3 linked regions of the Saccharomyces cerevisiae S288C genome follow. The gene in region 1 interacts genetically with each later gene. Each region holds a gene or a part of one and is shown on either strand. Other genes may lie near its edges. The genes, in order: ECM3, SEG2 and YOR387C.

The links.
Region 2: mutations in ECM3 (region 1) and SEG2 together harm fitness more than expected from each alone (negative genetic interaction), as found in Saccharomyces cerevisiae (one large-scale study listed by BioGRID).
Region 3: mutations in ECM3 (region 1) and YOR387C together harm fitness more than expected from each alone (negative genetic interaction), as found in Saccharomyces cerevisiae (one large-scale study listed by BioGRID).

The regions. Positions count from the first base shown.
Region 1 is NC_001147.6:493,156-496,915, forward strand, and holds the start of ECM3 (putative ATPase ECM3), read left to right. Parts: upstream 1-1,971; coding exon 1,972-3,760. Other genes in the region: translation machinery-associated protein TMA46, read left to right, coding at 278-1,315. UniProt on the Saccharomyces cerevisiae protein: May be involved in cell wall organization and biogenesis.
Region 2 is NC_001143.9:240,858-244,617, reverse strand, and holds the start of SEG2 (Seg2p), read left to right. Parts: upstream 1-2,034; coding exon 2,035-3,760. Other genes in the region: glutamine--fructose-6-phosphate transaminase (isomerizing) GFA1, read left to right, coding at 1-1,398. UniProt on the Saccharomyces cerevisiae protein: Likely plays only a minor role in eisosome assembly.
Region 3 is NC_001147.6:1,069,053-1,072,240, reverse strand, and holds YOR387C (uncharacterized protein), read left to right. Parts: upstream 1-1,999; coding exon 2,000-2,620; downstream 2,621-3,188. Other genes in the region: FDH1 (formate dehydrogenase (NAD+)), read left to right, coding at 1-448.

The sequences.
Region 1 (3,760 bases):
CATCACACCCTGAACAGCACAAGATTGCAACCTCTGAGAGTATTTCTTAAGTTGGAGACTAGTGGAGGAAATGAATTGGCACGTAGCTCGTCGAACATGATGAACTGTGATGATAATGAAAAAATTTTTGTTCCCCAGCGATGAGTTAGTGAAAATCGACAATATATCTTTTTTTAATCAATGTGTTTTACTATTTCTAGAAAGCAAGGGAAGCCACTCTATTAGTAAACCTCTGGGCTTTACACATATAAAATCGCAGGAAAGTTATATTTCGAAGATGCCACCAAAAAAGGGAAAACAGGCCCAAGCGGCTGGTAAGAAGAAGGATAATGTCGACAAGACGTTCGGTATGAAGAACAAGAACCGTTCTACCAAAGTCCAAAAATACATCAAACAAGTGCAATCACAATCCGACCCCAAGAAAGAAGAGATGAGGTTAAAGAAACTCGAAGAAAAAAAGCGCAGAGAAGCCGAAGAAGCTGAACGAAGAGCACTATTCAACCCTGTAGCAGACCAAAGGGTTCGTGCGGGTGTAGATCCCAAGTCCATGGTTTGTGCTCTGTTCAAACTGGGGAATTGTAACAAAGGTGCCAAATGTAAGTTCTCACATGACTTGAACGTCGGTAGAAGAATGGAAAAGAAAGATTTATACCAAGATACAAGAAGTGAAAAGGAAAATGACACAATGGACAACTGGGATGAAGAAAAGCTGAGAAAAGTTATCCTGTCGAAGCACGGTAACCCAAAGACCACCACCGACAAAGTATGCAAATACTTCATCGAGGCCGTGGAAAACGGTAAATACGGTTGGTTTTGGATTTGTCCTAACGGAGGTGACAAATGTATGTACAGACACTCCCTACCAGAGGGCTTTGTGCTGAAAACCAACGAGCAAAAGAGGCTCGAGAGGGAGTCGCTCGAGAAACAGCCAAAAATTACGCTGGAGGAGTTTATCGAAACAGAAAGAGGGAAACTAGACAAATCCAAGCTAACACCAATAACAATTGCCAACTTCGCCCAATGGAAGAAGGACCACGTCATCGCAAAGATTAACGCTGAAAAGAAGTTATCTAGTAAGAGGAAACCTACTGGTAGAGAAATCATTCTTAAGATGAGCGCCGAAAACAAGTCATTTGAGACGGACAACGCCGACATGCCAGACGACGTCACCCAGGGATCCGCATGGGATCTTACTGAATTCACAGATGCCTTGAAGAAGGCTGACCACCAAGACGACGGCGGCATCAAGGACTACGGTGACGGTAGCAACCCCACCTTCGACATCAAAAAAGCCAACTCCGCCACGCTCGCATAGTCTAAAATTCATATAGACTAAACTGTATATATGCCACCGTATATATAATACACGCACACACACCAACACAAAGCATGTCACGTCATGTAGCTGATCACGCAGCACGACCGCGGCCCATGCTTATCTGCCGTCTTTTTGCCCCTTTCGATATCCCACGCCCCACGCCCCCACGTTGTTGAGGTGTTTTTTCACCTCGGATCCGCCCGACAATATCTGGGATTAAAAGTGCTCGAGTTTTGCTCTCTATTTCACAATCGGTGATAGTTGAGCTTCCTTTCACTGCATCTCTTTGCAGCCTCGGGGGATGAGGCTATATACTTAGAGGGCCTGAATATATGTTTGACGCATCCCTCCTTCGTACGCTACCATCTGTTACTCTTGCACCGTTATTATATGCTTGTAATTTTTGTTATATAATAGGCCTTTCATTGTTTTTAATATAGACTTTCATCATAGGGCATCCGGAATTTCTTCTCAGAAGCCTCGCAATTTTTCTTTATATTAGGTTTTTCAGACTTTACATTTGTACAGAAACTGCGTATTGTTGACCATTACCGAGAGGAAGATAAAAAGGCATAGATAGTTAAGTTTAGCATTATAGAACCAACACAAACAAAACAATAGAAGACAAAGAGTAAGTTCAAGACAAGTAGACAATGACACACATCACACTGGGACAAGCCATCTGGGCCTCTGTCAGACCAATCATCAAAATCTATCTGATTATTGGTGTAGGCTTCGGTTTATGCAAGATGAACATCTTAACCGTTCAGGCCACAAGGTCCATCTCTGATATCGTTTTAACAATTCTGCTTCCTTGTTTATCATTCAATAAAATCGTAGCAAATATAGAAGATAACGATATCAAAGATGTCGGCATTATTTGTCTGACGTCTGTTATACTGTTCGCAACTGGCTTGGGGTTTGCCTTTATTGTTCGCAGTGTGCTGCCTGTTCCTAAGAGATGGCGTGGTGGTATACTTGCAGGAGGTATGTTTCCCAATATCAGCGATCTACCCATCGCCTATTTGCAATCCATGGACCAAGGGTTTATATTTACAGAAGCAGAAGGTGAGAAAGGTGTTGCCAACGTTATCATCTTTCTGGCCATGTTTTTGATATGTGTTTTCAATTTAGGTGGTTTCAGACTAATTGAAAACGATTTCCATTACAAAGGTGATGACGATGAAGAAAATACGTTGACCAATGATGATTCTGCCCAACAGCCAACACAACCAATTGAAGGCAATTCTTCTTCTTCATCCAACCAAGATATCCTGAAAGAGCCCAACGAGTCTACCGTTCCTAACAGTTCACAAGCAAGCTACATTTCTGAGAAAAATAAAAAAGAAAAAACTGAACTCTCTGTCCCCAAGCCTACACATACTGCCCCTCCAGCAATAGATGACAGGAGCTCGAACTCATCCGCGGTGGTCTCTATCGATAGCATTACACACTCACTACGCACAAACCATGTGGATGCCCAATCTGTAAGCGAGCTTAACGATCCTACTTACAGAACTAGAAGTCAACCAATAGCATACACTACCGAGTCAAGAACATCACATGTTCATAATAACCGCAGGAATTCCATCACTGGCTCCTTACGTTCCATCGATATGCGTGAACTACCCGCGGAAGGCATGTCGGATTTAATTCGTGAATACTCCAATGTTGATCAATACGGTAGAAGAAGGAAAAGTTCTATCAGCTCCCAAGGAGCACCCTCTGTTTTGCAGGCAGACGGTACTATTTCTCCAAATTTGACTAGAACCTCCACTTTACAAAGAGTCAAAACTTCCAACCTAACAAGAATAATCACCTCAGATGCCACTGTTAGTAAGAAAGATATTGAGACTTCCGGTTCCTCTTTACCAAAATGGCTACAGAAATTTCCCTTAACAAAATTTTTCGTCTTTTTTCTAAAAAATTGTCTAAGGCCTTGTTCCATGGCTGTTATCCTGGCTTTGATTATCGCTTTTATTCCCTGGGTAAAAGCCCTTTTCGTTACGACCAGTAATACACCAAAAATCAAACAAGCCCCAGATAATGCACCTGCTCTAACTTTCATTATGGATTTTACATCTTATGTTGGAGCCGCTTCAGTTCCCTTCGGTTTGATTCTTTTAGGCGCTACTCTTGGTAGATTGAAAATTGGAAAATTATACCCTGGTTTCTGGAAATCCGCAGTGGTATTAGTCTTTCTCAGACAATGTATCATGCCGATCTTTGGTGTCTTGTGGTGTGACCGTCTAGTGAAAGCGGGATGGCTAAATTGGGAAAACGACAAGATGTTATTGTTTGTTACCGCCATTACTTGGAACTTACCAACAATGACCACCTTAATCTACTTCACTGCAAGTTATACCCCTGAGGACGAAACTGAACCCGTTCAAATGGAATGTACCTCTTTCTTTTTGATGCTTCAATATCCTTTGATGGTCG
Region 2 (3,760 bases), on another chromosome or scaffold:
TCCCAAAATGCCAATTTACTACCAATTGCCGCCAATGAATTTAACTTGAGACATTCTCAATCCAGGGCTTTCCTATCAGAAGATGGATCTCCAACACCGGTGGAATTTTTTGTTTCTTCGGATGCGGCATCTGTTGTTAAACATACCAAGAAGGTGCTATTTTTAGAAGATGACGATTTGGCTCATATTTACGATGGTGAGTTACATATTCATAGATCTAGAAGAGAAGTAGGCGCATCAATGACAAGGTCCATTCAAACTTTAGAGATGGAGTTAGCTCAGATCATGAAGGGCCCTTACGACCATTTTATGCAAAAGGAAATCTATGAGCAACCAGAATCTACTTTCAATACTATGAGAGGTAGAATCGACTATGAAAATAATAAAGTGATATTGGGTGGTTTAAAGGCATGGTTACCAGTTGTCAGAAGAGCACGGAGACTGATCATGATCGCATGCGGTACTTCTTATCATTCATGTTTGGCTACTCGTGCTATCTTCGAAGAATTATCAGATATCCCAGTTAGTGTGGAATTAGCGTCTGACTTTCTGGACAGAAAATGCCCTGTCTTCAGAGACGATGTATGCGTGTTTGTTTCACAAAGTGGTGAAACTGCGGATACCATGCTGGCTCTAAATTATTGTTTAGAAAGAGGAGCCTTAACTGTCGGAATTGTTAACAGTGTTGGTTCTTCTATCTCTCGTGTCACCCACTGTGGTGTTCATATTAACGCTGGTCCTGAAATTGGTGTTGCCTCTACAAAAGCTTATACTTCCCAGTATATTGCCTTAGTGATGTTTGCTCTATCGCTGTCAGATGACCGTGTATCGAAAATAGACAGAAGAATTGAAATCATTCAAGGCTTGAAGTTAATCCCGGGCCAAATTAAGCAGGTATTAAAGCTGGAACCAAGAATAAAAAAGCTCTGTGCGACTGAATTAAAGGATCAAAAATCTCTATTGTTATTGGGTAGAGGTTACCAATTTGCTGCTGCTCTGGAAGGTGCTTTGAAGATCAAAGAAATTTCTTATATGCATTCTGAAGGTGTTTTGGCAGGTGAGTTGAAGCACGGTGTCTTGGCCTTGGTGGACGAAAACTTGCCAATCATTGCTTTTGGTACCAGAGACTCTCTATTCCCTAAAGTAGTTTCCTCTATTGAGCAAGTTACTGCAAGAAAGGGCCATCCAATTATTATTTGTAACGAAAATGATGAAGTGTGGGCGCAAAAATCTAAATCAATCGACCTGCAAACCTTAGAAGTTCCACAAACTGTTGATTGTTTACAAGGTCTAATTAATATTATTCCATTACAACTAATGTCATATTGGTTGGCTGTTAATAAAGGGATTGATGTTGATTTTCCAAGAAACTTGGCTAAATCTGTTACCGTCGAATAAATTAACCCTTTTACTTTCTCTTCGTCCCCCAGCCTCCCATCCGTCTTTCTACTATCACTTCTCCTTCGCTTTTAATTTTTGAACTTCCATTATTCTGCAATGCGCACTACAAGCTGGCGTTAAAGATGATTCCACTTGTATTCTCTATATAAATAAAAAATTATATTTTATATGAATAACCAAAAAGATAGTTGCAGCCCTAAATTAGACCTGCTAAATAAATGTGTTCTAACTTTGTTACAATTTTTAAACCATATAACTTCCTTCTTGTAAGTCCTCTAAAATAATATTAAACCCTATCCTGAGTTGGGCCCTGCGTTTTACCCGCAGGAATAGGCCCGATGATTGATTATCCACATCAACTTTTGGTGAAATTCGAGAGAAAATAAATGGGAAGTGAACGAGCAATAGGCAATCAACAAAAAAAAAAAAGGGTTAGGAAATTCGCTATTGTAAAGAGGCAATTTTTAAAATTTAGAGTGAAAATCGCCATTCCATCTTCTTCATATTCTTCGTTCAAATTACACAATTATTGCGGGAGGAAATAGCATTTATTAACCCTAATAATCAACATAAGGCAGATAGCTCTGAAAGAGGCAAGTATCAACAAATAGTGGGAGCATTGGAAATAGCGGGATGATCCAAGAAAGTAGTCCAGATGCCTTAGCAGCAGCAGCAGCAATTGGAAATGCGCTCAGTTATAATGGGAGGACCGTTGACAAGAGTAAAATACCGCAATACAATCAGAGTTTTACCTCTCGAACTACGTCAATCGCAGGGATTAATAGGTATACAATGCTCTCGAATTCTAGGACTAACTCAAGGATGCTCTTAATGAATGGTAACGTTCGCCAATACTCTAAGCGCACGTCGAGTTTGCCAAACCAAGGACATAAGAATACCTCTAATAATTCGGCGGGGAGAAGGCAACACAGGGCTCACGAGGATGCAGAAACCACGTTTCGAGAATTTGGAGGCAAGCAGTCATCGAAGGTTTTAAACATTTCAAGTTCGACTGGTCAGAATAGTAAATCAAGGACCACATCACTTGGGAACTCAGGCAGCACAATAAGGACGATAAAAAAATACATACCAGGCCCTAGGGGGTTAATGGCTGTGGAAGTACCCGTGGAAGTAGAGCCTCCTAGATACAGTCTGAGCAACCGCTCAAACCAACGAGGTGGTAGAGCATATTCTTTGCCTACTCGAAACAACAAAACTAGTCTAATGCATAGGAATAAAACTACTAAGAAAGCAGGATCACAAGAGAAAAAAAGTGAAAGCGGCGGTAAATCAAAAAACGATTATCATGGCAAAGTATTATCTAAAATGCATACTACATCATTAAAGCAACGGCATAACAATGTTCCATTAATACCAACAACTATGAACGAGGAAACGGAACAAGAACTGCAAGAGGATCTTCATGATCCTTTAGAATTTAAACCCATGATTATATCCGATGACGAAAACTCTTTTATTGAACCCAGCGTTCTCGATCGTAGCATACCCAAAAAAGATAAAAGTGGTCTCAGTGGACGTGAGAAAAAGGAAGAAATTGAAACATTGCTTAAAGAGGTTCATAGCTTGGAGGAAAAAATATCAAATATCGAAATAGCAAAATTGAACGAAGAAGAAAGGGAACAAAGCTTAATTTTGGAATTGCGAAAAGTTAAGCTAGATGAAGAACGGAGAATGGAGTTATTGAAAAGAGAGCTAAATATAGTTAAGGAGAATGCCGACCTTGAAGCCCAAGAATTAAAACTAATTGAAAGCAAAAGAAAACAACACTTTCACAAAGGACAGGAAGTAGCATCCGAGGTCAAATCGATCACGATTCGTCAACCTACTTTATCAGAACCTAAGCCTGCCTATGTACCTCCGGAAGACGTGGAGAAAGAGCCATCAACTCTCTCCAATCAAACTCAGAATATTGAAAATGCAGAGAATATCGATTCTGTTGATGCCGAAGGAAATTTAGTAGATCCTATTCTTCTCGGCTCTTTAAACAATTCTAACTTCCACATGAATTCAGATAACGAAGTGAGGTGCATTGCAGATTCAAACAGTCTCACTGGCAGCGAATTATCCGATTATAATTATATAGAAGGCTCGGCAACTGATCTTCGCGCTACTGCAAAGACAAGTGTGGAGTCTGAAATAGGCGGAAATCAGGTTGGACTAAAAATTCCGCAAGATGATGATAGTGAAAAACAGGAAGAACGTACAAAGGGAAAAAAGTCAGGCCTCGTCGATACAAATTGCTTTTTAGTCCAAAAAGAAGATCAAGAAGAGGCGCTTTCCGATAATGAACCGGAAAGTTCTGAAAAATTCCCTAGCACTTCTGGGATCGAGAACGTTA
Region 3 (3,188 bases), 580 kb from region 1:
ATTGGAGGATATGGTTGCTCAGTCAGATGTTGTTACCATCAACTGTCCATTGCACAAGGACTCAAGGGGTTTATTCAATAAAAAGCTTATTTCCCACATGAAAGATGGTGCATACTTGGTGAATACCGCTAGAGGTGCTATTTGTGTCGCAGAAGATGTTGCCGAGGCAGTCAAGTCTGGTAAATTGGCTGGCTATGGTGGTGATGTCTGGGATAAGCAACCAGCACCAAAAGACCATCCCTGGAGGACTATGGACAATAAGGACCACGTGGGAAACGCAATGACTGTTCATATCAGTGGCACATCTCTGGATGCTCAAAAGAGGTACGCTCAGGGAGTAAAGAACATCCTAAATAGTTACTTTTCCAAAAAGTTTGATTACCGTCCACAGGATATTATTGTGCAGAATGGTTCTTATGCCACCAGAGCTTATGGACAGAAGAAATAAGAGTGATTATGAGTATTTGTGAGCAGAAGTTTTCCGGTCTCCTTTTGTTCTTGTTTTGGCGTATTCTCCACTATTCGTCCATAGCACATTTATACCTTAGCTAAATATTTTGTAAAGCAAAATTTTCGTTATCTCTTAAAAAATAGAAGAGCGGTTTATTAATATCAAATAATTGAAACTGCTGATATGGTAGCTATATACAAAATCTGCTGTCAAAATTTGGCAGTAAACGATCTTCACGGTAGCGGTTCAAATAAAGAGGAAAAGTCTTTCTCCCTTACTGTTTTTCTGGAATTTGGCTCGTCGTTAATAACAGAACTAAAGATACAGTAAAAGGAGAGATCGCAATCAACTTCATTAATTGTAACAGTAGCATAATCACAACTGATCATCTACACTATAAACAGTTTTTATTTCTAATTATGGGCGCCTGGCCGGCTCAAACATTGTGCTTTTAAGACTCCAAAAGTATCTGCTGCAGAAAAGAGCCATATAATGTTAAGTGTTCAGGGATAGGTTATCGCTTACTACTTCAAACGTTTCGAAGGAAAGCCAGGGAAGCCTATATCTGATTCCCTGTTTCATAATCCAATGCAGCCACTAGCTTATAATTATTTGAACTATTTGTCGAACATCACAGTAATAAAATCCCCAGAAAGTTCCACTTGCTGCATATTGGCACCTGTTGATTCACTCTCCATCACTTTTTTGTTAGCCGCCCAGCCTAGAAAGTCTTTAAATACATCTGAAATTTTTTTTTTTTTAACAGTGCACCCGTGCATCATACCTCATGCAAGGTACCTTTTTTTCTCAAAGGTATTGTCTTCCATTGAAGTGGCACTATGGCATGATGAACCCTGAGCATTTCTGAATTCAACAGAACCAAATTGTCCAGAAATAAATCTGTCCGACATGAATTATGAAACTTTTTTTCAATTAAGTGAAGAGAATTTTGCAGCGTCTTACCATTATTTTGACCCATTGGTCGCATGTTTGCGCTTTGACTTCGAGAACCATGTTAAAGCTTACTTGTACGACAACCAATGAAGTATATTACGGCAGTTTTTTTGGACTGGGTCAAAAAAAGTGTTGCATAATCAAATCAGGAACACATTAAAATGTTGTAAAATTTGTCTTAGTATCACCTGAGTGGTTATTCATTACGTACTACTGTCAAAATATTCGGATCTTTCCTAAACGGGCTTTTGAATTAGTGTTGCTTCTATTCCTGGAATGGAAGGTAATACTTTCATGCATTCTCGCTTTTCGGACTTTTAACAATAAATTAAAAACAATGATACTTTCATCAACTACCTATACACCCTGCGGGTCAATTATTTTTTTTTCGAATAACCGCTGAGGTTGGAAATATAGAAACATATTCCAGATCTGTATTTTCAGTTGCTAGAAAAAGGTTAATATAATCATTAAGGTTTTCAGCATATAACAGGTATAATTGATATATAAGCATCGTAATTTTCATTCAAAATGGAGAGCTACTGCTTCTGATAGATTGTACAATCTCAAGAAATCAAGAACAACAACCATACCATGAGTTTCCTAAACATTTTTACTTTTTTCAGCGTCCTTGTGTCTGTTGCAACAGCCGTCAGATTTGATTTGACTAACGTCACTTGTAATAACCTACATGGACCTCACTGTGGTACCTACGTTATGGAAGTCGTTGGCCAAAATGGTACATTTTTGGGTCAATCTACGTTTGCTGGTGCCGACGTTTTAACTGAAAGCGCTGGTGACGCTTGGGCAAGATATTTGGGCCAGGAAACAAGATTCCTCCCAAAGTTGACTACTATTGCTAGCAATGATACGAAGAACTTTTCTCCACTAATCTTCACCACCAATATCTACACTTGTAACCCTCAATCCATTGGTGATGCTATGGTTCCTTTTGCTAACACTGTTACTGGTGAAATTGAATACAACTCTTGGGCAGACACCGCTGATAATGCTTCCTTCATAACCGGTTTAGCTAACCAATTGTTTAACTCTACTCAGTATGGCGTTCAAGTTGCTTCCTGTTACCCAAACTTTGCTTCTGTTATTTTGAGCACCCCAACTGTGAACATTTTCGCTGCGAATGAGACATTACCAGATTATTGTACCGCCATCCAGTTGAAGGCCGTTTGTCCACCAGACGCTGGTTTTGCTTGATTTTTTCCAGCTGCATAATCTGTAGACATATTTTAAGTATATTTTTTAGGCAGTTTTATAAATTAACAGACTATAATTATTTTAGAGAAAAAGACCCAGATTTATACTTCTGACTTTTCTTTTTTATGTTGATCTTATTGTCACTGTCATTGGATCATAATAATGATTCTTTTTTGAACTTCTCTTGAAAGTATCCTCTTATTCTCTTTTGATGATAGGTCCAAATGCACGTGTACTTAGAGATTAGAGCGCAGATGGTTTTCTTGTCAACATCATATCAATTGTTTGCCGAACCAAAATACAACGTTGACTTGATCGTTCCTAGGTCCATCAGCTACTGCACATTCTTACGAGTTATTCATCCGTGAAATATAGCTACATTTTCGAGCATATCTTGAAGTGGTCCATTCTCAACATCACCCTTTCAATTACGCGTGTTTTAAAATACCCAACGTCGTCAGAATCCGACTGATCATCATGGTAAGACTATTGCTCCAAGCAATCTAACCAAGGCATTCTCTTTTCCCTTTTAATTAGTTCACAGTCACTGGCAAACAATCTTCTCTAA